Linked DNA regions of Rattus norvegicus. The protein of the gene in region 7 interacts with the protein of the main gene of each other region in a pairwise test. Links are inferred from orthologs where the notes say so. Each region holds a gene or a part of one and is shown on either strand. Other genes may lie near its edges.

The links.
Region 1: the proteins of Tchp (region 7) and Nab2 interact in binary tests that used the Homo sapiens proteins (3 or more experiments, as listed by UniProt). The two-hybrid records come from large-scale screens. The link is inferred for Rattus norvegicus from reciprocal best matches to the Homo sapiens genes TCHP and NAB2.
Region 2: the proteins of Tchp (region 7) and Mkrn3 interact in binary tests that used the Homo sapiens proteins (3 or more experiments, as listed by UniProt). The two-hybrid records come from large-scale screens. The link is inferred for Rattus norvegicus from reciprocal best matches to the Homo sapiens genes TCHP and MKRN3.
Region 3: the proteins of Tchp (region 7) and Krt16 interact in binary tests that used the Homo sapiens proteins (3 or more experiments, as listed by UniProt). The link is inferred for Rattus norvegicus from reciprocal best matches to the Homo sapiens genes TCHP and KRT16.
Region 4: the proteins of Tchp (region 7) and Dydc1 interact in binary tests that used the Homo sapiens proteins (3 or more experiments, as listed by UniProt). The two-hybrid records come from large-scale screens. The link is inferred for Rattus norvegicus from reciprocal best matches to the Homo sapiens genes TCHP and DYDC1.
Region 5: the proteins of Tchp (region 7) and Cdr2 interact in binary tests that used the Homo sapiens proteins (3 or more experiments, as listed by UniProt). The two-hybrid records come from large-scale screens. The link is inferred for Rattus norvegicus from reciprocal best matches to the Homo sapiens genes TCHP and CDR2.
Region 6: the proteins of Tchp (region 7) and Nme7 interact in binary tests that used the Homo sapiens proteins (3 or more experiments, as listed by UniProt). The two-hybrid records come from large-scale screens. The link is inferred for Rattus norvegicus from reciprocal best matches to the Homo sapiens genes TCHP and NME7.

Annotation. Positions count from the first base shown.
Region 1 is NC_086025.1:65,386,456-65,390,750, reverse strand, and holds the start of Nab2 (NGFI-A-binding protein 2), read left to right. Parts: upstream 1-1,495; 5' UTR 1,496-1,705; coding exon 1,706-1,788; intron 1,789-2,844; coding exon 2,845-3,718; intron 3,719-4,078; coding exon 4,079-4,212; intron 4,213-4,295. UniProt on the Homo sapiens protein: Acts as a transcriptional repressor for zinc finger transcription factors EGR1 and EGR2. Isoform 2 lacks repression ability.
Region 2 is NC_086019.1:125,338,379-125,342,486, reverse strand, and holds Mkrn3 (probable E3 ubiquitin-protein ligase makorin-3), read left to right. Parts: upstream 1-1,308; 5' UTR 1,309-1,420; coding exon 1,421-3,007; 3' UTR 3,008-3,823; downstream 3,824-4,108. UniProt on the Homo sapiens protein: E3 ubiquitin ligase catalyzing the covalent attachment of ubiquitin moieties onto substrate proteins.
Region 3 is NC_086028.1:85,669,412-85,673,516, forward strand, and holds the start of Krt16 (keratin, type I cytoskeletal 16), read right to left. Parts: upstream 2,801-4,105; 5' UTR 2,729-2,800; coding exon 2,231-2,728; intron 1,800-2,230; coding exon 1,717-1,799; intron 1,490-1,716; coding exon 1,333-1,489; intron 1,249-1,332; coding exon 1,087-1,248; intron 1,008-1,086; coding exon 882-1,007; intron 611-881; coding exon 390-610; intron 294-389; coding exon 244-293; intron 104-243; coding exon 9-103; 3' UTR 1-8. UniProt on the Homo sapiens protein: Epidermis-specific type I keratin that plays a key role in skin. Acts as a regulator of innate immunity in response to skin barrier breach: required for some inflammatory checkpoint for the skin barrier maintenance.
Region 4 is NC_086034.1:16,981,532-16,985,031, reverse strand, and holds part of Dydc1 (DPY30 domain-containing protein 1), read right to left. Parts: intron 3,287-3,500; coding exon 3,185-3,286; intron 1-3,184. UniProt on the Homo sapiens protein: Functions as part of axonemal radial spoke complexes that play an important part in the motility of sperm and cilia. Plays a crucial role during acrosome biogenesis.
Region 5 is NC_086019.1:184,945,537-184,949,036, forward strand, and holds part of Cdr2 (cerebellar degeneration-related protein 2), read right to left. Parts: intron 320-3,500; coding exon 207-319; intron 1-206.
Region 6 is NC_086031.1:79,221,462-79,224,961, forward strand, and holds part of Nme7 (nucleoside diphosphate kinase 7), read left to right. Parts: intron 1-654; coding exon 655-765; intron 766-3,131; coding exon 3,132-3,182; intron 3,183-3,500. UniProt on the Homo sapiens protein: Possesses an intrinsic kinase activity. Displays 3'-5' exonuclease activity with a preference for single-stranded DNA. Does not seem to have nucleoside diphosphate kinase activity.
Region 7 is NC_086030.1:47,542,949-47,546,448, forward strand, and holds part of Tchp (trichoplein keratin filament-binding protein), read right to left. Parts: exon of another isoform or gene 2,988-3,500; coding exon 2,875-2,987; exon of another isoform or gene 2,751-2,874; coding exon 2,684-2,750; exon of another isoform or gene 1,022-2,683; coding exon 849-1,021; exon of another isoform or gene 1-848. UniProt on the Homo sapiens protein: Tumor suppressor which has the ability to inhibit cell growth and be pro-apoptotic during cell stress. Inhibits cell growth in bladder and prostate cancer cells by a down-regulation of HSPB1 by inhibiting its phosphorylation.

The DNA.
Region 1 (4,295 bases), on a different chromosome or scaffold from region 7:
CTCCAAAATAACCGGACTGGGGAGTGGGGGAGGGGCGTTGCATACATGGAAGGAAAGGCCGTCTAGTCGCGCCCTCCATATAGCAAAGGGGTTCGGGAGAAGGACCCTGCGCCTTCCTACATCCCTAGTATTTTTGGACGGAAGACAAAAACCTGACCTATTGAAATCATTCCTCCTTGATAAAGTACCCATCCCTCTTCGGGAAACCGAGAGATCCCCCATCGTCAGTCTGGAATGAATCTGGAATGTAGAACCCGCCCAGACCCACACTACCCACGCCGTGCTGGGGCAAGCCACTCTCAAGTGCGGAGCAAAGGGGCGGAGCCGAGGTTTCTAACTAGAGGGACGTTTCCTCCCTCTGGCCAGTCCGCCACGCTTTCCACCCCCACCCTCTCTCCCCAAAGGCCTACACAACCCCCACGTGCCCAATACCCCCCCCAACCCTCCTAGCCGTGGGCGTGTAATGGGAACCAGATGGGGCTAGAAGAAACCGAGGGGGTTGGGCTCCTTGAAGGCGGTCCTCCGTGGTGGGCAGTCACGTAGACTACTCTTAGCCTCTTGCCAAGCTTCCACTACACTGTCCAGAGAGATCCAATAATTCATGACCTCAGAGAAGGCAGCCACCTTTTCCTGGCTTTGCCGTCCAATCCAAGCAGTAAGGCCTGACCATCAGAAAATAAAAAAGCATGGTAACCCCATCCCTGTCCTACCTACCAAACCCCGACGTGCCTAACCAACGCTCATGTAAGTAGTAGATTCTAGTATAACTTACGACCAGGGTTTCTGAGAGCCGCCTCTTCATATTACAACCTTTAGGCCAGAGAACGGTGTTGAAACACCGAAGGGATTCCTGCGCAGCCCCGCGCTAACAAGTTTACCCTAAGGGTACATCCTCCGGGAGCGGAGCAGGAGGAACCGAACACCCGGACCCCTCTCCAACTTTTTTCCCATCACTTCTAACATTCAAACTAACGGCATGGCGCGGCCAGAGTGCGGCCAACGGGCGTCCGCGTCGTTGTTTAGACGCGTGTGCACGTACGTGCGCGTGTCTTTGTATACTTGTGCGTGGTTGTGAAACTGCGCTCTCGGCTCACAGGAGTAGGAGTGGTGCAGGGAGTAGGAATGTAGCCGGCGGGGCGCTCACGTGGGTACGTGGGCGCAGAGAGGGCCGGCTGTGCATCCGGCGTGGGCGGCAAGGAGCGACCTGCCCCGCCCGTTGGGTCCCCAAGCTCCCCCCTCCATAGCTCGGCCTCGGTCACCTCAGTCCCCAACTCGGAGCCCGATTCTTGAGTCCCCGCCTCCGCCTCCTGCTCCACACCTTCCCCCCACCTTCCCCCAAGTCTCCTCCTCTCAGTCTCCGCAGCAGCCTCTCGGAGGCTCAGGCCTGGGCTCCCACCCACCGCCTCCGGTCCCAGCCCCCGGTTCTGCCCACGCCCTCCTCCCGCCAGCCCGGCAGCCAGCGCAGCGCGGGGCCTCGCTCCCTGTGCGTCCTGCGGGGGAGGAGGCGCGGAGAGGCGGCAAGCTCAGCCGGGGAGGTGGGGGCAGAGGCACAGACAGAGGCGCGGAGGCTCCGAGAGAGAAGACGTGGAGGGAGGGACGGAGCCAGGACAGCGGTGGACCCGGGCCGCGCGCGCTCCAGGCAAAGAGCAGCGCGCAGCAGGCGCCGGGCACCGAGACGGGAGGCACGGGTGATCTCTGGCCGTCCATGCACAGAGCGCCCTCTCCCACAGCGGAGCAGCCACCTGGCAGAGCGGATAACACCCGCCGGACCCCACAACCCAGAGTCAAGTTAGTGGGCAAAAGGAGGTGGCAGGGAGTGGAGATGGGTGGAGTTGGACTCCCGAATGGGGGTCTAGGGGGTGGGGGTCGAAAAGAGGACGTGGAGAATCGGGAGGTGGGAGGTGGAGACTGATAGAAAAGGGGGGGTGAGTATTCGAATTGGGGGATCCTGGGAGCAAACAAAGACCCAATGAGCCTGGTTACGATAGAGTACTGCCTCATTTTCCATTCCAGGTTTACTCAGTGGGCATAACCTGGTACGTGAGGCCCTACAAAGACTGTCCCCCAGCGCCAGGGAGAGCTCCAGAGCTTGATCTGTCAACAGTGAGGGGTGGGGGAGCTTAGCTGTCTTAGTGTGTCATTAGCCGGCAGCGCACCACCCCTAGGTCTGGGAGAAGGTGGTTCCTTTGAGTTAAGCATCTGTGGGCCTGAAGGGGGTGTGCTTCAGGCCTCCCTTGTCATGAAATGACCATTCACTGAATGAGGAGGGGTAGCCCCCGCATGCAGCCCCTTCCTCAAGAGGCCTTCAGTCTCTCTCGCACTCCCTTTTGAAGATAAGGATGGAAAACAAGGAGAAGAGAGTAGGCGGGAGCCCCCAGGCAGTTTTCGCCTACAGACGCTGCTCCTGTGGGAGTGTGTGGGAAGAACGGCCCCAGAGCAGAACAATCAAGGCTTCCCTCCCCCTTTCCCAGAAGAGAAGGACCAATCAAAGGAGAGGGGGTAACTGGAAGGGTACTGGGCAGCCTAGAAAGTTCGGACAGATTCTAGGAAGAGTGCTTTTAAACCCTGGAACCTAAGGACATGAGCAAGGGTCTACCAGGTTCCCTAAAGGCCAAGGAAGAGGCCACACCCCTCCCTCCCAGCTACCTGGGCAAGGAGTGAAGTGGCCAGCAGTAGCCCCTAGTATTCTAAGTTAACTTTAATATGGGATGTTTGTGCCACTGAGCAATGCTCCATTCTCAACCTTGGGCACTGGGCAGGAAAGAGGACAACTGTTAGTGTGGGTTGGTTGGTACCCAGCAGGACACTTGTACTCACCGCCTGTCTCCTGCCCTTCCTTCTCAGGGCAAGTGCCTCAACCATGGCACTGCCTCGAACACTGGGTGAGCTGCAGCTGTACCGGGTCCTGCAGCGTGCCAACCTTCTTTCTTACTACGAGACCTTCATCCAGCAGGGAGGGGATGATGTACAGCAGCTGTGTGAGGCGGGCGAGGAGGAGTTCCTGGAAATCATGGCACTTGTGGGCATGGCCACCAAACCACTCCATGTCCGACGTCTACAGAAGGCTCTGAGAGAATGGGCCACCAACCCAGGGCTCTTCAGCCAACCAGTGCCTGCTGTGCCTGTCTCCAGCATCCCACTTTTCAAGATCTCTGAGACAGCTGGTACCCGGAAAGGGAGCATGAGCAATGGGCATGGCAGCCCAGGAGAAAAGGCGGGCAGTGCTCGAAGCTTTAGCCCCAAGAGTCCCCTTGAACTTGGAGAGAAGCTATCACCACTTCCTGGAGGACCTGGTGCAGGGGATCCCCGGATCTGGCCAGGCCAGAGCACTCCAGAATCTGATGTTGGAGCAGGAGGAGAAGAGGAGGCCGGGTCTCCCCCTTTCTCCCCCCCTGCAGGGGGAGGAGTCCCTGAGGGGACTGGGGCTGGGGGGGTGGCTGCAGGTGGCACAGGGGGTGGTCCAGACCGCCTGGAACCAGAGATGGTGCGAATGGTGGTAGAGAGTGTGGAGAGGATCTTCCGGAGTTTCCCCAGGGGTGACACTGGAGAGATCACATCCCTGTTGAAGCTGAATAAGAAGCTGGCACGGAGTGTGGGGCACATCTTTGAGATGGATGATAACGACAGCCAGAAAGAAGAGGAGATCCGAAAATATAGCATCATCTATGGCCGCTTGGATTCCAAACGGCGTGAGGGCAAACAGCTTAGCTTGCACGAGGTGAGTACCTGGGTCTTCAGGACTGCCCTTCACTCCTGGGCTCAGTTCACTTGCCTCAGAATCCTCCACCTCTGTATCACTGTCCCCTTGACCACCCCAGTTCCTTCCACACACCCACACATACCCAACCCCAGCTGCTGCCTCACTTCCCTCAACCTAAGGGAAGAATAATGGCAACGAAACCCTGTGCTGCTCACATGCCAGGAACAGGAGGCCTTGGGAGGGACAGTCTCTAAGTTCAGGCAGTTAAGTCCTGGGTATTATTTAAAGCAGGCATTCTTTGGATGGGCCTCCCTTGGTGGTGAAGGGGAAAAGCAGTAGGAGAACCAAGAACTCACACTGATTGTCCTCTTGCCACAGTTGACCATCAATGAGGCTGCTGCCCAGTTCTGCATGAGGGACAACACCCTTTTACTTCGAAGGGTAGAACTTTTCTCACTGTCCCGCCAAGTAGCCCGAGAGAGCACCTATCTTTCTTCCTTGAAGGGATCCAGGTGAGACCCCCTTCCTTCCCCAAGGTTGGAATCCTGCCAAGGACTTGGCTCTCCCAACTTGCAACTCAGGCAGCTCCAGGCCT
Region 2 (4,108 bases), on a different chromosome or scaffold from region 7:
CTGAGCCTTTTATTATGTTTCTTGATAAGTTATACAAGAAAAATTTCGCTTATTCTATTTCCTTATTTCATATTTACTTTTGCTTCATTTCACCTCTTTTATCTATATTCTTTGATAATGTTCCTCTTAGCTTGTTTTATTGTTGTTGGCTTTATTTAGTGGAGAATAATATTTTAATATTTTGAGTTGGATGATTATATCAAAAGCATTCAGAGTTTTTTTAACCTTAGTTTGTAAGACTGCCTGTAATAAAATTATTTTAGCAAGCATAATTTTAGTTTTGGAAAAAAGTAGTATATTAAATATTATAAGACAACATGGTTATTACTAAAAATAAAAACCCACAAATAACTACACTATAAAATTTAGTATGACACTATAGTAAGTAGATGTAGCATTGTAGAACTATATATGAAATTATTAGTCCAATAGTATATATCTGCAAAACGAAAAAACAAAACAAAACAAAACTGCGGCTCAATGTGGAAATGGAAATGAGACACTTTGGTGCACAAAGAAGAGCTTGTATTATGAAAAGCTCGGGAGAGCAGAATGGGATGAAAAGGAAGGCAGGGAACAAAGGGTCTCCGAATCCAACCAACAGAAAAAAGTTAAAAGCCTGGGTCACTCTCAGACCTTGGCTTATTAAGTCTTCATCAGGGCTAGACAAAGTCTAGGCTTCTACTTTGTTGTGGGGTGGGTGGGGATATATAACAAAGGCAGGAAAGTGAAAGGCTCTGTCTGACTAGCCTCAGGGCAGAGGATTCCCTTCTAATTAAAGTGCACGCAAATTAACCCTTCAAGGAAAAAAGACCCAAAGAAATTGTGTCAGATCTATAAGCGTCAAAGGAGAAATGCTTCGGCGGGGGGGCCCCTTTTCGATTTAAAAAGTAGTCACCTATAAACAAAAGACAGATTGAACCGAAAAATATTTTTTAATGTTTATGAGTGAAATGTTCTATAAATGTCAATAGCAGCCGATGGCAAAGGCAAGGATTGTAGCGTTTTCTTAACTGAAAACGAAAATAAAATGCAATGTATACAACCGAAACCTGGAGAGATTAAAACATCAACCTTCAAGGAAAACAGTGTGGAAACGGGGGTTGGGGAGTTCAGAATCGCTCTAAGAGAGCCGGCAGAAGCCGATTCCAATATCTTAAGCGGTTACCGGTACGGGAAAAACATGGCGGAAGCAACTTCCGGTGAAGCACCGGAAAATGGTGTTACAACCGGAAGTGTCCGGCTGCCTGTAAGCAGGTAGGAACCAAAGTTCTCAGGGAACAGGGAGCAGGTGGGAAGACAAAAATTGATGCACTTCTCTCCGAGAAGAAGCTGATCGGACCATCTTCAGCTCCGCAATTCAAGCACAAAAAAGACATAATATTCGGGTTTTTGGACAGTGTTAGAGGCACGCTGCGTGATGGAAGAGTCTACAGCTCCCATGGAAGCCTACGAGGCCGCCGGCGCCGAGGCAGGTGCTGAGGGGGGGGAGGGTGTGTCTGCCCCCCCCCCTCCTCAGTTTGAGGCTTCTGGAGCTTCTGCGGTAGCCAGCTCAGCCCCTCTGCAAGAGGCATCGGGCCTGGCACCGTTTCTTATGGCTCCAGTCCCTGCGAACCGGCGCGCGGCGAGTTTGAGACCCGCTCCAGCCGAAGGGGGCGGGGCCAGGTCTGGTCCGGAGCGCAACACAGGCAGCTGGACGAAGCAAATCCTCTGCAGGTATTATCTGCATGGGCAGTGCAAGGAGGGCGATAACTGTCGCTACTCTCACGACCTTTCTGGGCGGCGGAAAGCTAGGGGGGGCCAAGATTCTCAGCCTCGGGCCTCTGCAGACAGAGGACCCAAGATGGCCACTCACTGGGAGCCCCCGACTCAGGAAGTGGCGGAAGCCCCCCCTACTGCATCCTCAAGCTCCTTGCCTCTGATTGGCTCGGCTGCTGAAAGGGGCTTCTCGGAAGCTGAGATTGACAATGCAGGCATTGGCTCAGCTGCTGAAAGGGGCTTCCCTGAAGCTGAGATTGACAATGCAGGCCTTGCAGCAGGTGCTGCGGGAGGAGCGGGTGCAGAAGGCTGGGAGGGGGCAATTGAGTTTGTTCCTGGACAGCCGTATCGAGGTCGCATGATCCCCCCGCATGGTCCCGAGGCTCCTCTGCAGAGCCCGGAGATTGAGAGAGAGCATATGGCTATGGGCATGGGAATGCCGCTGCCGCTTTGCCGCTATGCTGCTCGGGGACAATGCCTCCGTGGGGACAGGTGTGCATACCCCCATGGAGAAATATGCGACATGTGCGGGCAACAGGCCCTGCACCCTTGGGATGCAGCTCAGCAGGAAGCTCATAGAAGGGCCTGCGTTGAAGCACACGAGAGAGATATGGAACTCTCTTTTGCTGTGCAGCGCAGCATGGACAAAGTGTGTGGCATCTGCATGGAGGTTGTCTATGAGAAGGCCGACCCCAGCGACCGCCGCTTTGGCATCCTTTTCAGCTGCAACCACACCTACTGTCTTAAGTGTATCCGCAGGTGGAGAAGTGCCACACAGTTTGAGAACAGGATCAGTAAGTCCTGCCCACAGTGCAGGGTCTCCTCTGGCTTTGTCATTCCTAGTGAGTTCTGGGTGGAGGAGGAAGAGGAGAAGGAGAAACTTGTTCAGCAATATAAGGAGGGGATGAGCCAGAAAGCCTGCAGGTATTTTGCTGGAGGCCTAGGTCACTGCCCATTTGGAGAATTCTGTTTTTACAAGCATGAATACCCCGAGGGCTGGAGAGATCAGCCTCCGAGGCCAGATGGTGGTGGATCGTCCAGCGCATACTGGCATCAAGTTTTGGAGCCTGTGCAGTTGCGAGAGGGAAGCGTGCTGTTTAAAAGCCGTAAAAAGGAGCATTCCGTGCTTCGCCTGGCCAATCAGTTGCTTAAGAAGTTGCTTTGCCTGCGAGGCAGTTTTTCCATCTCTGATGACCGGTGGCTCTTGCTTCAGTACCAGCTGGAAGAATATTTCAATTTGAATCTGTAGTATCACGCTGTGGCATGTGGTCTGGTCTGCTAAGGCTCTGTTGTCTGCTGTTGCTTATTCCCCTTTATCGACTGACTCAAAAACCCTATCGCTTTCAAAGGCTGTTGAGGCAATCTTTATGCAGTATTGCTGTTTTCTCCTCTATTTCCCATTTCTTCTCGCTAGGATTGTGATGTTTCTCCGTGTTACAAAATAACAAGAAATCTTATAAGTATTGTTTGGTGGAATTAATATTTCTGTCAGCTGATGACTTGTGATGTCTTTTTCCAACAGGATTCAATCACTTCTAGTCTAGTGTTTACAGTTTCTCATTGTGAAGTCCCTTAAGAGTAAATGTGACAAGGTGACAAAAGTCTTTAACTGAATTATGAGCTTTTTGCTATATAGCCTTAAAAAAAAAATGGACCCTTACAGGACCTTGCAGCTGCTGTCTGTGTTTGTTTACATGTTTGTTTCTTCTCTTTCAAGTGCACTTGTTAACTTGTGGTTATTTTGTGGTTCTGTTTTACTTGACCAAAATGAGGTGCATATGTTTACATGTTTTTATCCTGTTTGGCTTGATGTGAAATTATTTATATTTGGAAATATATATTTAAGAATGATATATATGCGTATATGTATACAAAGATGTATTTGAAAAAACTGGAAACAAATATACATCGTAATATATGTTTGAAGTAATGAAATAAATGTAGAGCTGAAAGCCTAATGTTAAAGTCCAAGTGTATGGGCTGTATGTGAATTGTGTGGATAATTACCTGCCCTTGCACTGATGTCAGTGATTAGCATCTAATAAAAATGACTGCTATGTGTGTATCTGACTCTTTTTAATGGATTTACAAAACATGACTTTGAAAATTTCTATGATAACATTAACAGCTTCTCTATAATGAAACAGTGCCTCACACGAAGTCACCATCTCATTTGTCTTCACAGTGACAATTCCTGAACTCAAACATACATTTCTTTGTTTTTAATATCTTAAATATCTGGTTATTGTATATTTTATAAGCAAAGAACTTTTAAGGAAAGGTTTTCAAAATAAAAGTTATGTGACTATGAAAAAAATAGTAATAAGTATTGACGTCAGACAGGGTATAA
Region 3 (4,105 bases), on a different chromosome or scaffold from region 7:
AAACCGGATTAGTACCCGGAACTCTGACTTTGGCTCTGGCTGAAGCTGGTTGAGCCTTGCTCCTTGAGGATGGACCGGGGCTGCCGGGAGGATGAGGAGAAGACTGAAAAAGAGAAACAAAAGTGTGAGGTGGATTGTGGGACATAAGCAAGCTGCCAAGGAGGGAACTGGATTGCCAGGACTCTGGGAGGAGGGCCTCAGCCCCGACCCTACAGAGTCAAGCTGTTGTCCCAGGAACCTTACCTTCTCCAGAAGAATAGGACTGCCCAGAGGAGTGCTGTGAGGAGGAGCTGCTGGGATGGGGGTGGGTGAGAAGAAACACAATCATTAGATGTGCAGAAAGCAGCAGAGGAAGAGGTACGGTGAGCAGGGACTAAGGGCCAACTCACTGGACATTCTCGCCATCCAGCAGACGGCGGTAGGTGGCGATCTCCTGCTCCAGCCGAGTCTTCACATCCAACAAGATGTTGTACTCCTGGCTCTGCTGCTCCATCTCGCAGCGCAGCTGAGCCAGCTGCTCCTCCAGGCTGCCGATCAAACCCTGGATCTGGGACAGCTGCACGCAGTATCTGCCTTTGGTCTCTTCTAGGCTGTTCTCCAAGGATGCTTTCTGTGAGTGAAGAAAGTACGGGGGTGATGATCAATAGCGATGGTGTCCTCTGTCTCTGCTGGCCCCTGGGACATATTTTAGATAGGTCCGTGGATCTTGACCCCAACTGGAGCAGTAATTAGAAAAGATTTATTGGAAAAATATTTCCCATACTTTCTGACTTTATTTTCTCTATCTGTATAATGGGTACCACGGTGCCGCCAGTCTCCTGCCCTGGTGACCCCTGAGGGAAGGGGACTACTGGACTGCACTAGGACCAGATTCTTCATACCATGCTGAGCTGGGACTGCAGTTCGATCTCCAGGCCCTGGAACACCCTGCGGAGCTCAGACACCTCGCTGCGGCCGCTCTGTATCAGCTCATGGTTAGAAGCCACCTCTTGGTTCAGCTCCTCGGTCTGAGACAGAAGACAGGAAAGGGGGTGAGACTCTGCACAGCCTCCGTGGCCAGAAGTCACAGAGGAAGCGGGTCCCCACCTTGCTCTGGAACCAGGCCTCCACATCTCTGCGGTTCTTCTCTGCCATCTGCTCATACTGGTCCCTCATCTCGTTCAGGATGCGGCTCAGGTCCACACCAGGAGCTGCGTCCATCTCCACGTTGACGTCCCCACCAGTCTGACCCCTCAAGGCAAGCATCTCCTGCAAAGGTCATGAGGGTTGGTCACTTCTCCTAGGGACCTCACCACACTGCCTTGCATCTCCCAAACCCAGCAGCAGCCCCACCTCCTCGTGATTCTTCTTCAGGTAGGCCAGCTCCTCCCTGAGACTCTCGATCTGCATCTCCAGGTCTGCCCTGGACATAGTCAGTTCATCCAGCACACGGCGAAGGTTGTTGATGTCACTTTCCACTAACTGACGCAAGGACGTCTCATTATCATACCTGGGAAAGAAAGGTTACAGTGACAGATGGACAACCCTACTCTTTTGTCCTTCCCTCTGCCCTCTGCCCTCTGCCCTCTGCCCTCTGCCCTCTGCCCTCTGCCTACTGCCCTCTGCCCTCTGCCCTCTGCCCTCTGCCCTCTGCCCTCTGCCTACTGCCCTCTGCCCTCTGCCCTCTGCCCTCTGCCCTCTGCCCTCTGCCTTCAGCCCAGCATGCTGGTTGCTCACTTGGTCCTGAAGTCATTAGCTGCCAGCCTGGCATTGTCGATCTGCAAAACGGACTGCGCATTCTCCTGCTTGGCTCTAACGATCTAGAGGGAAAATGAAAAGATTCAAGGCCTGATCACCCAGAAACCCTGCTACTCAAGGGCCAAGGAAGAGGGGAGCAAGAGGAGCCAACCCACGCCTAACAGTTCAGCTACTACAGCTTCTGACAACTGATTGCTTACTTCTACTCCCAGCTCAGGTTATGTAGGGGTGCACTGACATCTATCATCACCTCTATCCTAGGTCCAGAGCTGAGGAGGTGAGCATGTAGCATAAAGTGGCCTCAAAAGGATTAAGTGTCAGAGTCCCAGTTCCAGCTGAGGCATGGATGCTCTTAAAGGACCTTCAGCAATGTCTCTGGATAGCACTGACCTTTAACTTGAAAAGGTCTTCAGTCTACTTGCTTATGTATCTGTACAGGTGTCTTCCCAAAGCCCATGGTTCTGCTGTCGTCTCATCCACCAGAGCCACCCACCTTGCTCTGCAGGTCCTCGATGGTCCTGAAGAAGGGGGTGTAGTCTTTGATCTCAGTGGGACGCTGCCTCTGGTACCAGTCACGGATCTTCACCTCCAGGTCACTGTTGGCCTCTTCCAGGGCACGCACCTTATCCAGGTAGGTGGCCAAGCGGTCATTGAGGTTTTGCATGGTCACTTTCTCACTGCCAACCAGGAGCCCATCGCCAAGACCACCACCAAATCCACCACCAAGTCCTCCACCAAATCCACCACCAAGTCCTCCACCAAATCCACCACCAAAACTGCTGCTGCTGAAGCCCCCACTATAGCCACCTCCAATCCCACAGGCTGCCCCAGAGGAGAAGCGAGAGGAGGTGACCGACATGCCCCCATAAGTGCTGGGAGCCCGGCAGGATCCTCCAGCCAGGACGGAGGACATGCGGCTAGAGCCACCACCGATGCCACAGGAGCTCTTCATGGAGCTGGAGGAGGTGAACTGACGGCTGCAGGTGGCCATGCTGAGGAACGTGAGAGTGTGGGTAAGTGAGCAGGGAGAAGAGAGAACTGCTCAGTGGAGGGTGCAGATGCTGAGAATGCCTCAGACACCAGACTCTTTTATATGCACCGGGAGAAGGTGGGGCCCTCCTTCTGCTGACTCCAGGTTCCACTGTGGATTTTGTCAGTCAGTCCTGTCCAACTACCCACTCTGGATTATTCAGCCCAGGGTGGACTCTCTCTTCCATTTGCTGGCTCAGAGTTCCTGCCTACCTTTTGGGGTGTGGGGCCAATAGAAAAACACACAAATTCGAGTCAGTAGTGACTCAGCTTGTGTGGCCAGAAATGGGCTTCTGTTCCTTGAGCCTGAGGGGACAGCAACAGGGAGGCCTAGGTGCAGGCTGCCTTGTGGCAGGCGTGTCTTCAGGCAGTGAGTCAACCAGTCCCTGCCCCACAGTGAGAACCTTAGGTGGCTGGAGTTTCATGAATGCCATCCCAGACTGCCTTGTGATACTCTCCATTTAAAAGGTCCCTCACCATGGATCCCGAAGCCCTTCATAACTCTTCTCTGTGCCTGCTCTCCCCCTCCAAAGAGACAAGTCCAGGCTGGGTAACTGCAGCCCTTTCTAGTTCTAAAAAAAAATCAAAGATTTCATTTCCCATGTGATGTAATTTGGATTTGGAAGCTGCCTTTGAGACACCAGGATGTCCACAGTGGTGTACACCACAGCATTCTCTCCATATGCTGCCACATGCCTACACTTTCCCTCACCCAGTGAACAATACAGGAGGATCCTGTCACACCTATGGGTCTCAGTTCTTTTTTTTTTTTTTTTTTCGGAGCTGGGGACCGAACCCAGGGCCTTGCACTTCCTAGGCAAGCGCTCTACCACTGAGCTAAATCCCCAACCCCTGGGCCTCAGTTCTTGCGGGACACCTAAGAGTCACAAGAAGCATGCCTGGAGGACCCTACCCCTGTGGACTGTCTGTTCATCCTTCTTCTGCAGCCTTGCTGCCTTTCTTACCAACCTCCATATCCTGACCCCTAACATATGAGCCCTACACTTAGAGAGCACCCACCCGCAGTTCCTCCATGCCACCTCCTGCACTCACCTACACAGAGTAACCCACTGTGCTCTGTAGTGGACTCTATAGGAAGGAATTCCATCCTGCTCCTGATACTGCTTGTGAGCCATCAGCCCTAACCCCACTCTACCCCTCAAGGGCCTTAGAGGTCCCATGTGGAAACCATCTTGCCCAGATTTTCCCTAGCTGGGCTTGGTGCCTCTGTTCATCCAGTGTGCACAGGACTTTAGGATGATTAAGTCCTGCAAGTTAAGGTCAAATAGTAAATTTACGGTAATTTAAGACTCTGATTTAATTATAATAAATGTTTACA
Region 4 (3,500 bases), on a different chromosome or scaffold from region 7:
CTCTCTTGGGCATATACCCAAAAGATGCTCCAACATATAACAAAGACACGTGCTCCACTATGTTCATAGCAGCCTTATTTATAATAGCCAGAAACTGGAAAGAACCCAGACGCCCTTCAACAGAGGAATGGATACAGAAAATGTGGTACATCTACACAATGGAATATTACTCAGCTATCAAAAACAATGACTTTATGAAATTCATAGGCAAATGGATGGAACTGGAAAATATCATCCTGAGTGAGGTAAACCAATCACAGAAAAACACACATGGTATGCACTCATTGATAAGTGGCTATTAGCCCAAATGTTTGAATTACCCTAGATGCACAGAACACATGAAACTCAAGAAGGATGACCAAAATGCAAATGCTTAACTCCTTCTTTAAAAGGGGAACAAGAATACCCTTAGCAGGGAATAGTGGGCAAAGTTTAGAACAGAGGCAGAAGGAACACCCATTCAGAGCCTGCCCCACATGTGGCCCATACATGTACAGCCACCAAACTAGATAAGATGGATGAAGCAAAGAAGTGCAGGCCACCAGGAGCCGGATGTAGATCTCTCCTGAGAGACACAGCCAGAATACAGCAAATACATAGTTGAATGCCAGCAGCAAACCACTGAACTGAGAATAGGATCCCCGTTGAAGGAATCAGAGAAAAGACTGGAAGAGCTTGAAGGGGCTTGAGACCCCATATGAACAACAATGCCAACCAACCAGAGCTTCCAGGGACTAGGCCACTACCTAAAGACTATACATGGACTGACCCTGGACTCTGACCTCATAGATAGCAATGAATATCCTAGTAAGAGCACCAGTAGAAGGGGAAGCCCTTGGTCCTGCCAAAACTGAACCCCCAGTGAACATGATTGTTGGGGGGGAGGGCGGTAATGGGAGGAGGATGGGGAGGGGAACACCCATAGAGAAGGGCAGGGGTAGGGGCTGGGGGATGTTGGCCCCGAAACCCGGAAGGGGAATAACAATCGAAATGTAAATAAGAAATACTCAAGTTAATAAAGATTAAAAAAAAAAAAAAAAAAAAGAACCCGGTGAATGTCATTCACGGACGAGGCACCCACCAATAGTCTCGACTTACGAGAAGGCAAAGGTCAAAGGTCATCAGACAGCTTAGTGGGTAAAAGCACCATCAGGGAGCCTACTGACCTGAATTCAATCCCCATAACCAGTCTGAAGGGGGGAAAAACAGAAGCAACTCCACAATGCAGACTTCTGACCTCCGCACATGGGCCGTGGTGTGTATGCATTCTGTTCCCACCCCTGCATAAATCGCACACTCATAATAGTATTCTTTTAATTTTAAAAAGAAAGTAAATGTTAAAAAAAAATAGAAAAGTTGCAGGGTGTGGTGGTACATGCCTTTAATCCCAGCACTTGGGAGCTAGAGGCAAATTGATTTCCGTGAATTGGAGGCCACCCTGGTTTACAGAGTGAATTCCAGGACTTCTAGGGCTACACAGAAAACGTCTATCTCAAAAAAAAAAAAAAAAAAAAGAAGAAAGAAATTTTAAGATTGATTCTCTTATTACAGCAAAAGTTCTTCATAAAACATAGAACAAGCCTGCAAAAAATATTGAGTATCTAAGTAATTCACTTGTTGTCAAAGCGAGAATGACATTTGCCAGTGTGAGTTAATTTAAACAATGTTGATTTCCACATTCAAAGAAATGACTTGTCCCCTGCAGAATCAGCTTGTTTGTATTATTAGACTTTTGGTGAGAAAGCCTTCTCTGCTGGGCCAGCCCTCCTCCTCTCATGTGTTTCTGCTCACCAAACCGACGCCTTTAACCAGCCGCAGTCTCCTTGTAGAATGTCACCGGACCTTCCGCATACCTGGCACAGGAAGTGCTTCGCTTTCAACGCACAGCAGATCAGCTTTGCCGGCTAGCATGGCTAGGAAAATGCTTACTTTCTGGTGTTGCTAACGTTTATTCAAGTAGGGTAAAAGAGATGAGTGAAAGGAAGTGGAGTATCTTCCCGTGAACTCGCTGTCCCAGAGAAGGAAAACTACAGAGATCCCTGCTTCTCTTCAGTAGGACACAGACCAGCAGGAGAAGCTGTCAGGGGAGGATGGGCCAAGGGACCAGCACTATTGTGAATATCGGTCTCGAAACGTGGCGTCATGCAGGCTGAGGATTTTGTTTCAGAGATGCTTCGGACTAGATCTGCTCCAGATCTCTTAATTTTGACATATTTACATATCTTTAATATGTAAATCAAAATAGAAAGATGCCTTAGGTATGGTACCCAAGCCTAAACATGAAATTCAGTTACGTTTTGCCTTCTACCTGAAAATAATTGTATGCCATATTTTAATAATTTTTGCGTGAAACAAAGATTAACAGTGTGGGATTTCTCACTTTTTGGCGTTGTGTAAGTTCACAAAAAGTTTCGTGCTTAGGAACAGTTTTTGGATTTTTTTTTTCAGGTTAGAGATGTTCAACATGTAAAGCTTGATCAGCCCACTCTTTCATCCCCTACCGTATTATTTAATGATAATAAAATATAATTATTATTAGTACCATATTATTTCATTATTCTTCATGTGTGTTCACGGTTGGTTCTTACTTTGTACAGACAATAGAGACGGTAGCATGAAGTCTGCTTTTAACTTGTCACCAGGTGACACACCCACCTAAAACGGAGGCCACCCATTCTCTGTCCCTGAACTACAATAAGAAGCACTCGTCCACTCGTTTACCAGACCCATTTTCTCTCATGCCTGTGGACAGAGCCTCTAGACTATTTTTTTCTACTTTCTAGTGTCACTCATTGTACTCTGTGTGTTCTTAAACCAAAATAAAGCCCACTGCTCGTCCCCTCACAAGCTCCATGAAAGGACTATGCTCACTCATTATCTCTCTCCTCACCTACCGCCCTCCCCCCTGCCCACTCTTCCTAGAGAGATTGCCTGGCCTTAGAATGAGCACCAGCTCAGCAGTGGGGCTGTTGGCTACTGTCCCTTGGCCTCACTGTTGCCTTGGCTTCCACCCCAACTCACTTTCTGGGTTGTCCTATTATCTCATGCTATAGACTTTTCCAGAAAGAGAAACGGAATACTAGAGAGCCATGTCTAAGTGGCCGGAGATCGTCAGTACCTCAGGATGTGGGTGCACTCACCAAGGGCGATGTTCACTTCAGCCACGCCCTCCCTCTTGTCTCACCTGCTGAAACAAGAGTTCCTCTGCTTTGAGTCGATCCATCATTTCCTGCTCCATCATAGCTAATTCTCTCTCGTGCTCCAACGCAATCAGTTCTTTCTGTCTCTAGCAATTGGTATGAAAGCAACAGCACACAGTTAGAGATCCAGAAGTGTGTAAATGCGACCTCAGAAGCGTCTCAATTACAAGCATTAGAAGGTCTGTTAAGCAAATGATGGTCTATTCACTTGGAAACTATGCAACGATTTTGGGGGAGTTTTAGGTTTTAGGTGAATGAAGAATGCAAAATTAAGATTATACCATAAATATAAATAAAAAG
Region 5 (3,500 bases), on a different chromosome or scaffold from region 7:
TTACCAAGGTTGAAGAGAAAACTATTTTTTTAATCAGAGCAGACTTACATACTAGGAAAACTTTCTTTAAAGTATCTTTGGTGGTTCAATTTCTCAAAACAGACTACTCGGAAGCTGAATACTATTTCTCAATGCTATTTAGCAGTCCATGACAAGAGCAGAGAGCAACACATCACAGAGAATGTACCTCTCGATGAGTAAATTACCTCAATTTCCTGTAACTGCTCCTGATTGGTTGTGTACATCTGCTGAAGAGAATCCTCCAACTCTGTGTTCCGATCCAGTAGCGTCTTTCCGAGTTCTGCAGCAAGTTGGAGATCTAGCACAATAAACAACAAACAGCAAATTCAGTGCGCTTACTTCAACATTTTATATAACCCAGTTCTTAAAATAAATGAAGCAAGTCCCAGCACATGCAAGTCAGATCAATAGAACACAGAATGCCCTAAAAGAAATCGGAGTCTTACTTAAAATTCAGTTGACCTGGGGCCTCCTAGCAGGTGAAGTAGTCTCTCATGCACCCTGTCAGACATGAATGACAGCAGCCTACTTGACAGAGATGTGGGCATTATTTCAGGAATGACCATTCAGTCTTACAGTTCTAAGATCATCATTTGGTAATACCATTATTCAAATCCTGACGTTCTGCTTTTGAGAGGAATTCTCTGAGCCAAAGACACGGGCCTCTGAGCAGACTCCAAAATTTCTAGCAAGCTACTGTGAACACAACTGTCAAAGCAAAGTTTGTTGTCTGGACTCTCTTCACTTTTTTTCTTTGAAGAGGTGTGTGTGTGTGTGTGTGTGTGTGTGTGTGTGTGTGTGTGTGTGTGTATGTCTATGAGAGTACATGTACTGAAGGTCAGACACATGCATTGGATCCTATGGAACTGGAGTTACATGTAGCTGTGAGCTACTGATGTGGGTGCCAAGAACCTAATCCAGGTCCTCCAGAAAAGCAGGACATACTCTTAATGACTGAGCTCTCCCTCTAACCCCCTATACCTAGATTCTCAAGGCAACCAAATATTAATGCAAGAAATGAAGAAGTACACCAGTGGTGAAGATACTTGTTTCACAAGTCTGTCTCTCCCCACCTCAATTCCTATCATATCTTTTTTGTTTTGTTTTTTCAAGACAGGGGTTTTCTGTGAGTCCTGACTGTCCTGAAACTTACTCTGCAGACCAGGCTGGCCTTGAACTCAAGAGAGATCTGCCTGTCTCTATCCTCTGAATGCTGGGATTAAAGGCATGTACCACTACCACCCAGACCTATCACAGCTTTTAAGCAAAGCAGCAATACAGTTTTGCTTCATGCTTCCTCCTTAAACATGGGGCCAGGATTCTATTTTATTCCACCCCCTCCCCTCTGCCCTGGCTGTCCTGGGAAGTCATAGCAATTCTCCCTCAGCTTCCTACATGCTAGGATTCCAAGTATGAGCCACCACATTTGGCTTCTCTATTTTAAAGCTTATTTGTCAATTGACTTCTTAGGCATATGTGTGAAGAAGACAGGTTTTGTTATATTACAATCCGAGGAATAGAAACTTAGTAATAATATATATATATATATAAAAAAAACCCTGACAGGATAGATAATCTCAAGAGACACCTATGCCCTGTCCCCCAAATAATTAAAATCTCCCTCGGAATCCCCTACCAGGGGAAAGGAAAGACTGTGTTCCACATAGTTCTGACTGACAACTTGTCAGTCCATCCTACAGGACAGACCAGAACTGAAACAACGTAGGTAGGACCACACCTTGACCGGCACTGCTTAGTTATATAAACCTCCTGTCCTCTAGTCACCTACATCTCATGTTAGCAAGTCCTTAAATGGACATGGAGGTACAGTCATCAGGCCCCTCATATTTGTTCCTATTCTCAGTATAGCCATGTTGAATAAATCTTTTGTTTTCCACTATCATCTGTCTCTTTAGTGGTGTATTGAAGATAGGTGGCTGAGCTCTGGGGTTGCCAGAGCACAAAGCTTTTACTTTAAAAATCCCAGCAATTATATGTACCAGAGAATAGCCTTGTTGGGGCACCAGAGGAAGGGGAAGTCCTTGGTCCTGTCAAGGTTGGATCCCCAGTGCAGGGGAATATGGGGGAGGGGCAATAAGGGGGATGTATAGGGGGAATGCCTTTACGGGGGAGGAAAGCCCAGCAATTATGGTGACACAGGTCATTGAAACAATTATCTCTGTAGTGCATTTTATGGGTCAGCTCTATGATATATAGTGGGAAATGTCATGACCTCTAGGCTGAAAGGTCATGACCCAGACCTAACATTTTCTAGAACAGTGATTTTAAATGTTTATTTTTAGTTGTGTGTTTGTCTGTCTGTGTAGGTATGTATAAATGAGTGCAGAGGCCCACAGAGCCAGAGTTTGAATTACAGGTAGTTGTAGGCTGCCTCATGTGGGTGCTGGAAACTGAACTTTGGCTCTCTGAAAGAACAGTATGTACTGGTTGCTTTTGACACAGCTGGAGTTATCACAGAGGAGGAGCCTCCCTTGAGGAAATAAATGCCTCCATGAGATCCAGCTATAAGCCATTTTCTCAATTAGTGATCAAGGGGGGAGGACCTAGCCCATTGTGGGTGGTGCCATCCCTGGGCTGGTGGTCTTGGGTTCTATAAGAAAGCAAACTGAGCAAACCAGGGGAAGCAAGTCGTAAGTAACATCCCTCCATGGCCTCTGCATCAGCTCCTGCTTCCTGACCTGCATGTGTTCTAGTCCTGACTTCCTTTGGTGATGAACAGCTACATGGAAGTGTAAGCTGAATAAACCCTTTCCTCCCCAACTTGCTTCTTGGTCATGATTTTGTGTATGTGTGGAAATACAAACCCTGACTAAGACACAGTACATGCTCTTAACTGCTGAGCCATCTTCCTAGCTCCCAGACAGCGATTGTAAAGGTCTCTAAACTTAACTGTCTTGTTTTGAGAAACAACTGTTCCGTTAATATCATATTATAAATATCAAAAGTAATAATACAGAACAGTCTTTCCAAGCTAAGCTGCAATTGGTTTAAAGATGTTTGTTGGTACAAACTCTGGCTACAAGAGCAGACTGGGTGAAGCTCCTACTTTGTTGACTTTCCTAAGTTACTAGGGGAAGCTACAGAGCACATAAACACTAAGTCTTCAAACGTGATAGCACCATCGCCATCCAAATGGTGCTTTGACAATTCTTTGACAACTGTATTCACACGCACACACACATGGATACGTATATATTCAGCAAGATCAGATTACGATATTGGGGAATATAAGTAGTTCAGGTTTTATTGCTTACAGCCTATGGGAGAAAGCGCACAATAGCATATAAAACAGAGAGCACCAGGTACTTGAGATCATGTAAAGCAAGGAAGGTGTATGGGGGAGTTTGGATGAGAGAGGCTAAACCACAGGTCATGCTATAATAAGGATGTGAAGAAACTGAGGAAGTATACATCTGAGGGAACAGAATACCAGGCAGAGGCAAGGCAAGTAAAAAGTC
Region 6 (3,500 bases), on a different chromosome or scaffold from region 7:
GAAAGCTTAACAGATAAAGGCACCCACCACTGAGACAGAGGACTGAGTTTTATTCCTGACGGCCACATGACAGACGAGAGCTGACTTTGACAGATTGACTTTTGACCTCCATTCACAGGCTTTAGAATGCTCATGCCCCCACACATATATAAACTCACACATGAGAATTAAAGAAATGTAATTTAAAAAGTAAGAATAACAGCTTCAGTGTTCTTTCCTACCCATATTCTCTTTCTCCACCATTTCCTCTTATTTTATTTTACTGTATTTTATTATATTTATTTTAATAGATTGAGTCTTTGGTATATATTCTTGGCTGGTCTGGAACTCTCAATGTAGACCAGGCTGGCCTCAAATACACAAGAGAGAATTACCTCTTCTGTCCGCTGGGTGCTAGAATTAAATAAATGTGTGTGTCACCACACCCAGCCTCTTGCTTTTTTAAAAATAAGGTTTAACTAATTTTTACTTCTTTTGAAAAATAGTGATATTTTATGTAAGTTTTTAAGAGATATCATCTTTAACACACTTTCTCTTTTCTCAATTTGGATGTTAATAGTCTGATATGTCTGTGAAGGAAATGAGTACTGGGAATCATAAACAAAAGCGGTAGGACTGCTTTCGTCTCCTGATCCGTTCTTTATTTCCCCACAGAACTTTAGCCCTCATCAAACCGGATGCAGTATCGAAGGCTGGAGAAATCATTGAGATGATAAACAAAAGTGGGTTCACTATAACCAAACTCCGAATGATGACGCTGTCAAGGTAGTAACGCGTCGCTCGTTTTCAGTTATATAATGTCTTTTATTGTTCCCATCAGTCTTTAAATAAACAAAAGCAAAAACCAAACGAACAAAAAACCCCACAGAACAACAGCAAAAGTCCTTTCACTGAGTGGCATCATGGTGATGAAAGCAAGGCAATAGGCAATCGATCAGCCAAGCCTGAGCTCTCGTCAGATTCCTAGTCCTCATCTAACTGTGGTGACGGCCATATTCCCTTCTGCTTTCGTCACAGGAGTTCCCGATCTCTTCTAGTAAGAGTGTACTGTATGAAAGGAATAGAGTGTGTGACCATCTAGTGATTTCTCTTGGTTCTGGTTGCCAAAAGGGATGACTTTAGAGATGTTTACTCACCTTTTACTCAGCCTACTGTGGTGCCAGCATGCCTGTTTACTTCTCCAGAAGGCAATCCAGCCTAATTAGATATTTCTTAAAGAATTTGATGAAAATAAGACTTACCCCAGTAAGCCTTTTCTATCACAAAATAATTGTGATCCCAGGATAAAGGGCAATGGTAACCGAATAGTCACAATGCCAAGCCAAGAACAGGGAAGTGTGTCTCCCTTCCTTCAGTGCAGGTCTGATTCAGGGAGGATAGAAATGAATGACGTGATGCAGCTCCTGTCAGCATTTGGTCAGTGCTCGGCTGGTATCTGATGGGAGTCTTCAGCATCCCAGAGATGAGGTGCTTTATCACTGCTGACGTCATAGCTGCCATGTCATACAATACGAGCACACTTCCGAGACGATGCGAGGGTAAACAAGGGATGGGGCATCGAGTAGTAGGAAGCAGAGCAGGGTATGCAGAACTTACTAGCAAATCACCTGTGCTACTGTTGACTGCTCTGTACTGCTCAGGTCCAGTGTAGGCAGCCGCAGCAGTGAGGTCATGACTGCAATGGCTGTGTGGAGCCCTGCAGATCATTACATTGTACAGCCTTTCTCCCAGTCGCCCATCTCTTACACTCTTTCGACCCATGCGTCTATGATCGCCCCTGAGCCTTAAGGGGATGGTATAACTGTCTTGGTTAGGGCTCAGCACTGGGCACTAGGGGAGAGCTTTCCTTAGGGCCGAGTGCTTGACTATTCCTTCTCTCAGTGCCTTGAGCCTCCTAGAATCTTCGCGTTCATCCCTGTTCGCTGGAAAGAGGCTTACATGAGTAAGGTTCGTGAGAGCAGCATTTGTCTGTAGGTACAAACAGTTGCATAGAAGACAGTTTGACACCATGTCAAGTTAGCTAACGGACAACAGTAAGTTTCCCACAATGGTCTATGGCCTCCCTAGCCATAGATAAGCTCTTAAAAGCATTGTATACAAAATTAATTCTCAAGTCTAAAAGGTTGTGGGGTTCTTGCTAGTGAACAATTTTAGTTTATTGGCCATTTTAAAAACTAGTTGAGGGGCGGAAGAAATAACTCTGCAGTGAAAAGCACTGGCTGCTCTTCCAGAGGACGCCAGTTCAGTTCCCAGCACCCACATGGTGGTGGACACCATCTGTAACTCTAGGGAATCTGACGCCCTCCTCTGGACCACAGCAGGAACTGCCTGCATGTGCTAAACAGACATGCAGGCTAAATCCTCTACATTTAAAATAAACTAACATTTTAAAAAAATTGTTGTTCATATATAGTTGTTACATAGTATAAAATCTTTTCAGTCCAATGAGAAAGCACCACAGTTAAGATTTTGGTGGGGCAGAAGCTGTTTTTTAGAGCTCTAAGCTTACCAGTTTAGATCATAGTATCTTTTTATTGTCCGCAGAGCTACTTTTAGTGGAAATGTAGATTTTAATATGTATAATTTGCCAAGCAATTAAGGAAATACAAGTATATAGATCTTTTCCTTGAAGATATCTAAGAAGTAAGCAACAACTAGTAAATTAAAACCTGCAGGCATTTGGCATACAGCCCAGCAGCAGAGCTCACAGCTAGCATGAGTCAGGCCCTAGGTTCATCCCCAACAGATGACAAAAAACAAGGTAAGCTGTAGCTGAAATTCTAAAGCCTAAAGTTGATTCTGATTTTTGAATTAGAAGATGTCCGTTTTTTATGTAACTTGTTTAGACTTTAAATAACAAATACTCTTATCGATTTGATATCTAACAATATATTAAGAATAATGAGATACTAGTAAAATGGAAGACAGATGAAGTGTAACATTAATAAAAAAGTAAAATTATCCTCTTACTTTAATTTTTTATCTTATTATACATAGAACCATTACTTGGAATATGCAGTTTGGTAGAAAAAACATTAATTAGTTTGCATACAGATCATGTTTATGTGTTTTAATCTTTATTTTAGTTTATTAACACAAGTTAAACTATTTTCATTTTTATTATCTTATAGGAAAGAAGCAGCAGACTTTCATGTAGACCACCACTCAAGGCCTTTTTATAAGTAGGTACTCAGCTTGTGGACTAAAATTGTTTTCTTTATACTTTTATCAGATAAGCCTTTTTATATCCAGCACTTGACCCTCTAATCAGAAACAAATGAGTGACTTATTTGTTATGAGGAATATCTTTATATCTCAGTGAATTAAAGGAGCGAGTTTGTAATCATAGTTTGTGTTGGCAATGTTGTTGTACCTTAAGGCCTTTACTCTGATATCTTGTATGGACAAGGCAATAGTCACAGAACTAAGTAAGGACATGTAGTTTGTTCCTTTGGAAATGGCTAATCATAGATGTTAGAAGCTAACATCTATTCTAAGTA
Region 7 (3,500 bases):
ACAGGCCAGAGACAGGAGAAGGCTACCGCCTGCCCCAGAGCCCAGTTACCACCCCCTTGGGATGACTACCGGCTTACCTCAAGGCAGCAAGCAACCTCCTCGGCTCTCCATGAGCCATATGCCCACCACTTGGCTGAATGTCAGGATCCAATAACAGTGTCTGAACACCAGGGTATACTGCCTAATTATTTGGCTATTTCCGGGGCTGGAGAGATGGCTCAGCGGTTAAGAGCACTGACTGCTCTTCCAGAGGTCCTGAGTTCAATTCCCAGCACCCACATGGTGGCTCACAACCATCTGTAATGGGATCAGGTGCCCTCTTCTGGTGTGTCTGAGAACAGGGACAGTGCACTCACATAAATATTTCCATTTATGGGTTGGGCTTTTAGGCCCTAAAGCCGGGCACAGAGGCCAGCAGTCCCAGCCCCTAGGCACTAAGGAGATCACTGAGGAGGTAGAGACCAGCCAAGGCGTTATGGTGGCACTATCATCAGGATCTTGTCAGGATCCAGACCCAATTGTTACAGAGCTAAGCAGCATTCAACAGTTCCGTTCAGAAGCAACCTCCTCACCCTGTTTTAAGACTTGACATGAACATGTCATTACTGTCACTTTGAACCTTTGAACCATGTTCCCTGGGGATGGTGAGTTAGTTACAAGGACAGAGGTCTCAGAACAAAAGTGGCACACCCAAGAACCTGAGGGCACCTCCCAGAGCCTCCCGCCAGGACTGTCCCCTCACCTCTGTAGCCCTGAGCACCTCCCAGAGCCTCCCACCCAGACTGTCCCTCACCTCCGCAGCCCTTGAGGGCACCTCCCAGAGCCTCCAACCCAGGCTGTCCCCTCACCTCAGCAGCTGCTGCAGCTCTGCCTCCCGTGCCTTCTCCAGCTGCAGCTGCTCCTCGATGACCTGCTTCATCTGGGCCGCATCGGCCATGGCTTGCTCCCGCCTGGCCAGTTCGACTTGCTGCAGCTCATTGTCCTTCTCCAGCAGTGCCTGCAGGATCCGCCCATCTGCCTCCTGGATGCAGGGGTGGGCTGGTCAGAGCCCTGGTGCAGCAAGGTGAGCCCGCCCACCTTCCCACATAGTCTCTTCTACCCAGCCATGTGGGGCCTGACACATTCTCAGGACCGAAGGGAAGGAGTTGGGCCACAGCATCTGCTTCAGGCACTGCACAGGTCAGAAACTTGACCCCTCCTGCCACCTGTACCACCACAGGCACACGCCCCTGGACATGCATGACAACAGCACAGCTCAGAACACTGTATGGTAGGAACCTGTCTAAGAAATTACAGCAGAACTTGAACAGACACATGCACGAACTGCTCACTGCAACTGTAAATGTGGGAGCCCAGAATCCCTGAACGCACACAGGCAGGGGGTGCTGGATTAGCCGTGTCTACACAGCTCAACACGACAACAAAAGCAGGGGGATCCGAGGTGCAGCAGAATGGTGACAGCTCACCCCCAGCATCCTACACTTCATGACAGAGACACCACGCAGCTACCGAGTACGTTTGTCTTTCCCATAAAAACGCCGTGAGCAACGCAACTGAACAGAAGGAACTGCCTCAGGGGGTGTGTGGTAAGCAAGACCAGGAGATCTGTGCAGAAGCAGGCTGCAGACAGGAAGGACACCAAGGGAGGCAAGGAGAAGCTCGATGTGTGCCCCCTGTGAAATGACTGCTAGTTTAGCCAGCTAACATCTGCATTGCCTCCACGGTTTTTCCATGAAGACCTAAGGGTGAGCCAGCGAGACTCAGCAGGTAGAGCCCCTGCCATACTGACCTGAGCTGAAGGAGGAACATCCTCCTCAGGAGCCTCCTCTGACCTCCAAGTGCACACGGGGCCACATGCATGCCTGCCTCCCACACTCTAGCAGTAACATTTCAGTTTCTGTTCACCGGTTCTGAGTGTTTCAACTGAATACATGTGCACCTCGTGTATACCTGGTGCCTTGGAGCACCATGTGGGTGCTGGGAACCAAACCCAGGTCCTCTGCCAGAGCAGCAAGTGATCTGAAGCACTGAGCTGCCCCTCCACTCCCCAGCCTGCATTCATTCATTTACTTACTTATTTTAAATGAACACCTACACACCACGTATGGCGGCACATCCTTTAAACCCAGCACTTGGGAGGGAGAGGCAGATGGATTTCTGTGAGTTTAAGCCCAGTCTGGTCTACATAGCATGTTCCTAGCCAGCCAAGGGTACACAGTGAGAGCCTGTCTCAAAAAAACAGACGAATGCAGCTGGACAGATGGCTCGGCGGTTAAGAGCACTGACTGCTCTCCCAGAGGTCCTGAGTTCAAATCCTAGCAACCACACGATGGCTCACAATCATCTGCAATGAGATCTGATGCTCTCTTCTGGTGTGTCTGCAGACAGCCACAGTATATATATAAAATAAATAAATAAATATATATATATATATATATATATATATATATATATATATATATCTTTAAAAAAAATGCAGCCCACCATGGCTGCACCAAGCCCCGGCAGGCACAGACTGGTAGTGTTGTCGAGTGTGACCCACTCTCTTCTCCTCTGCACCGCCCAACACTGCTCTGGTCCCACCTGGGCTTTATGCAAGGACGCTCGCACTCGGGTCCCGCCTGCGCAGTGGCGATACCGTTCCCAAAGGATGGAGAAAAGCCTGCCAGCACCACTTACTCACCAGCTCCTCCTGGATCTGCTGGGTGCGCCTGTTGAGCTGCGCATTGTACTGATGTCGCAAGATGCGCCTGCAGAGGGGAATCAAGCCGCTTCAGTCCCGCAGAGCCAATCAACATCTGCTCACCGCAGGCCACACCCCCTTTGGTTCTCAGAGGCCCGCCCCCCTGGAAGAGCCCAGGCTTCCCTACACACCCTAGCTCTGTCTTGCGCCGGACGATGGCCATCTGCTTCCTTTCGTCGTCCAGCCTTTCCAGTTCCCAGTGCTGCTTCAGCAGGTTCTCCTGTTCCTTCTTCAGTTTGGTGGCCTGTGGTAAGACGGGGCAAGCAGACTGTCCTCGTGCACCTCTCCGTGTCGGGCAGGTACTACGTAAGCACAGGCTGGCCTAGATGATCATGATCCCCTCATGTGTCTCATGAGTCCCACCTCAACTAAGCCTTGCTACAAGCCTGGCCCAGCCAGAGAGACTTCCTGTGCCGGCCCTCACTAGCTAACTTAGCTTCAGTCTCTTGGGCCAGCACAGCCACCATGGGGAAACCAGAGATGAACATGTCCTTGTTTGGACAAGGACACTATCTCTACATCCACAATGAGTGGTGGGCACTACATCCCTAGTTATTAAAACAATGGGGCGGGGAAAGGGACACAGGAGACCAAAGAAGGTCTCTCTCCATCTGAACAGAGGACTCTGCTCTCTCAGGAAACCACAGCGTTCTCAAAGGCAGCTCACTGGACCAAGATCCCTCATGACTTACACACCGAAGCCCAAACTCGTTACTAGTAGAATGCTGTGCGCTGTGTGCTAGAGCATGTCCCACTG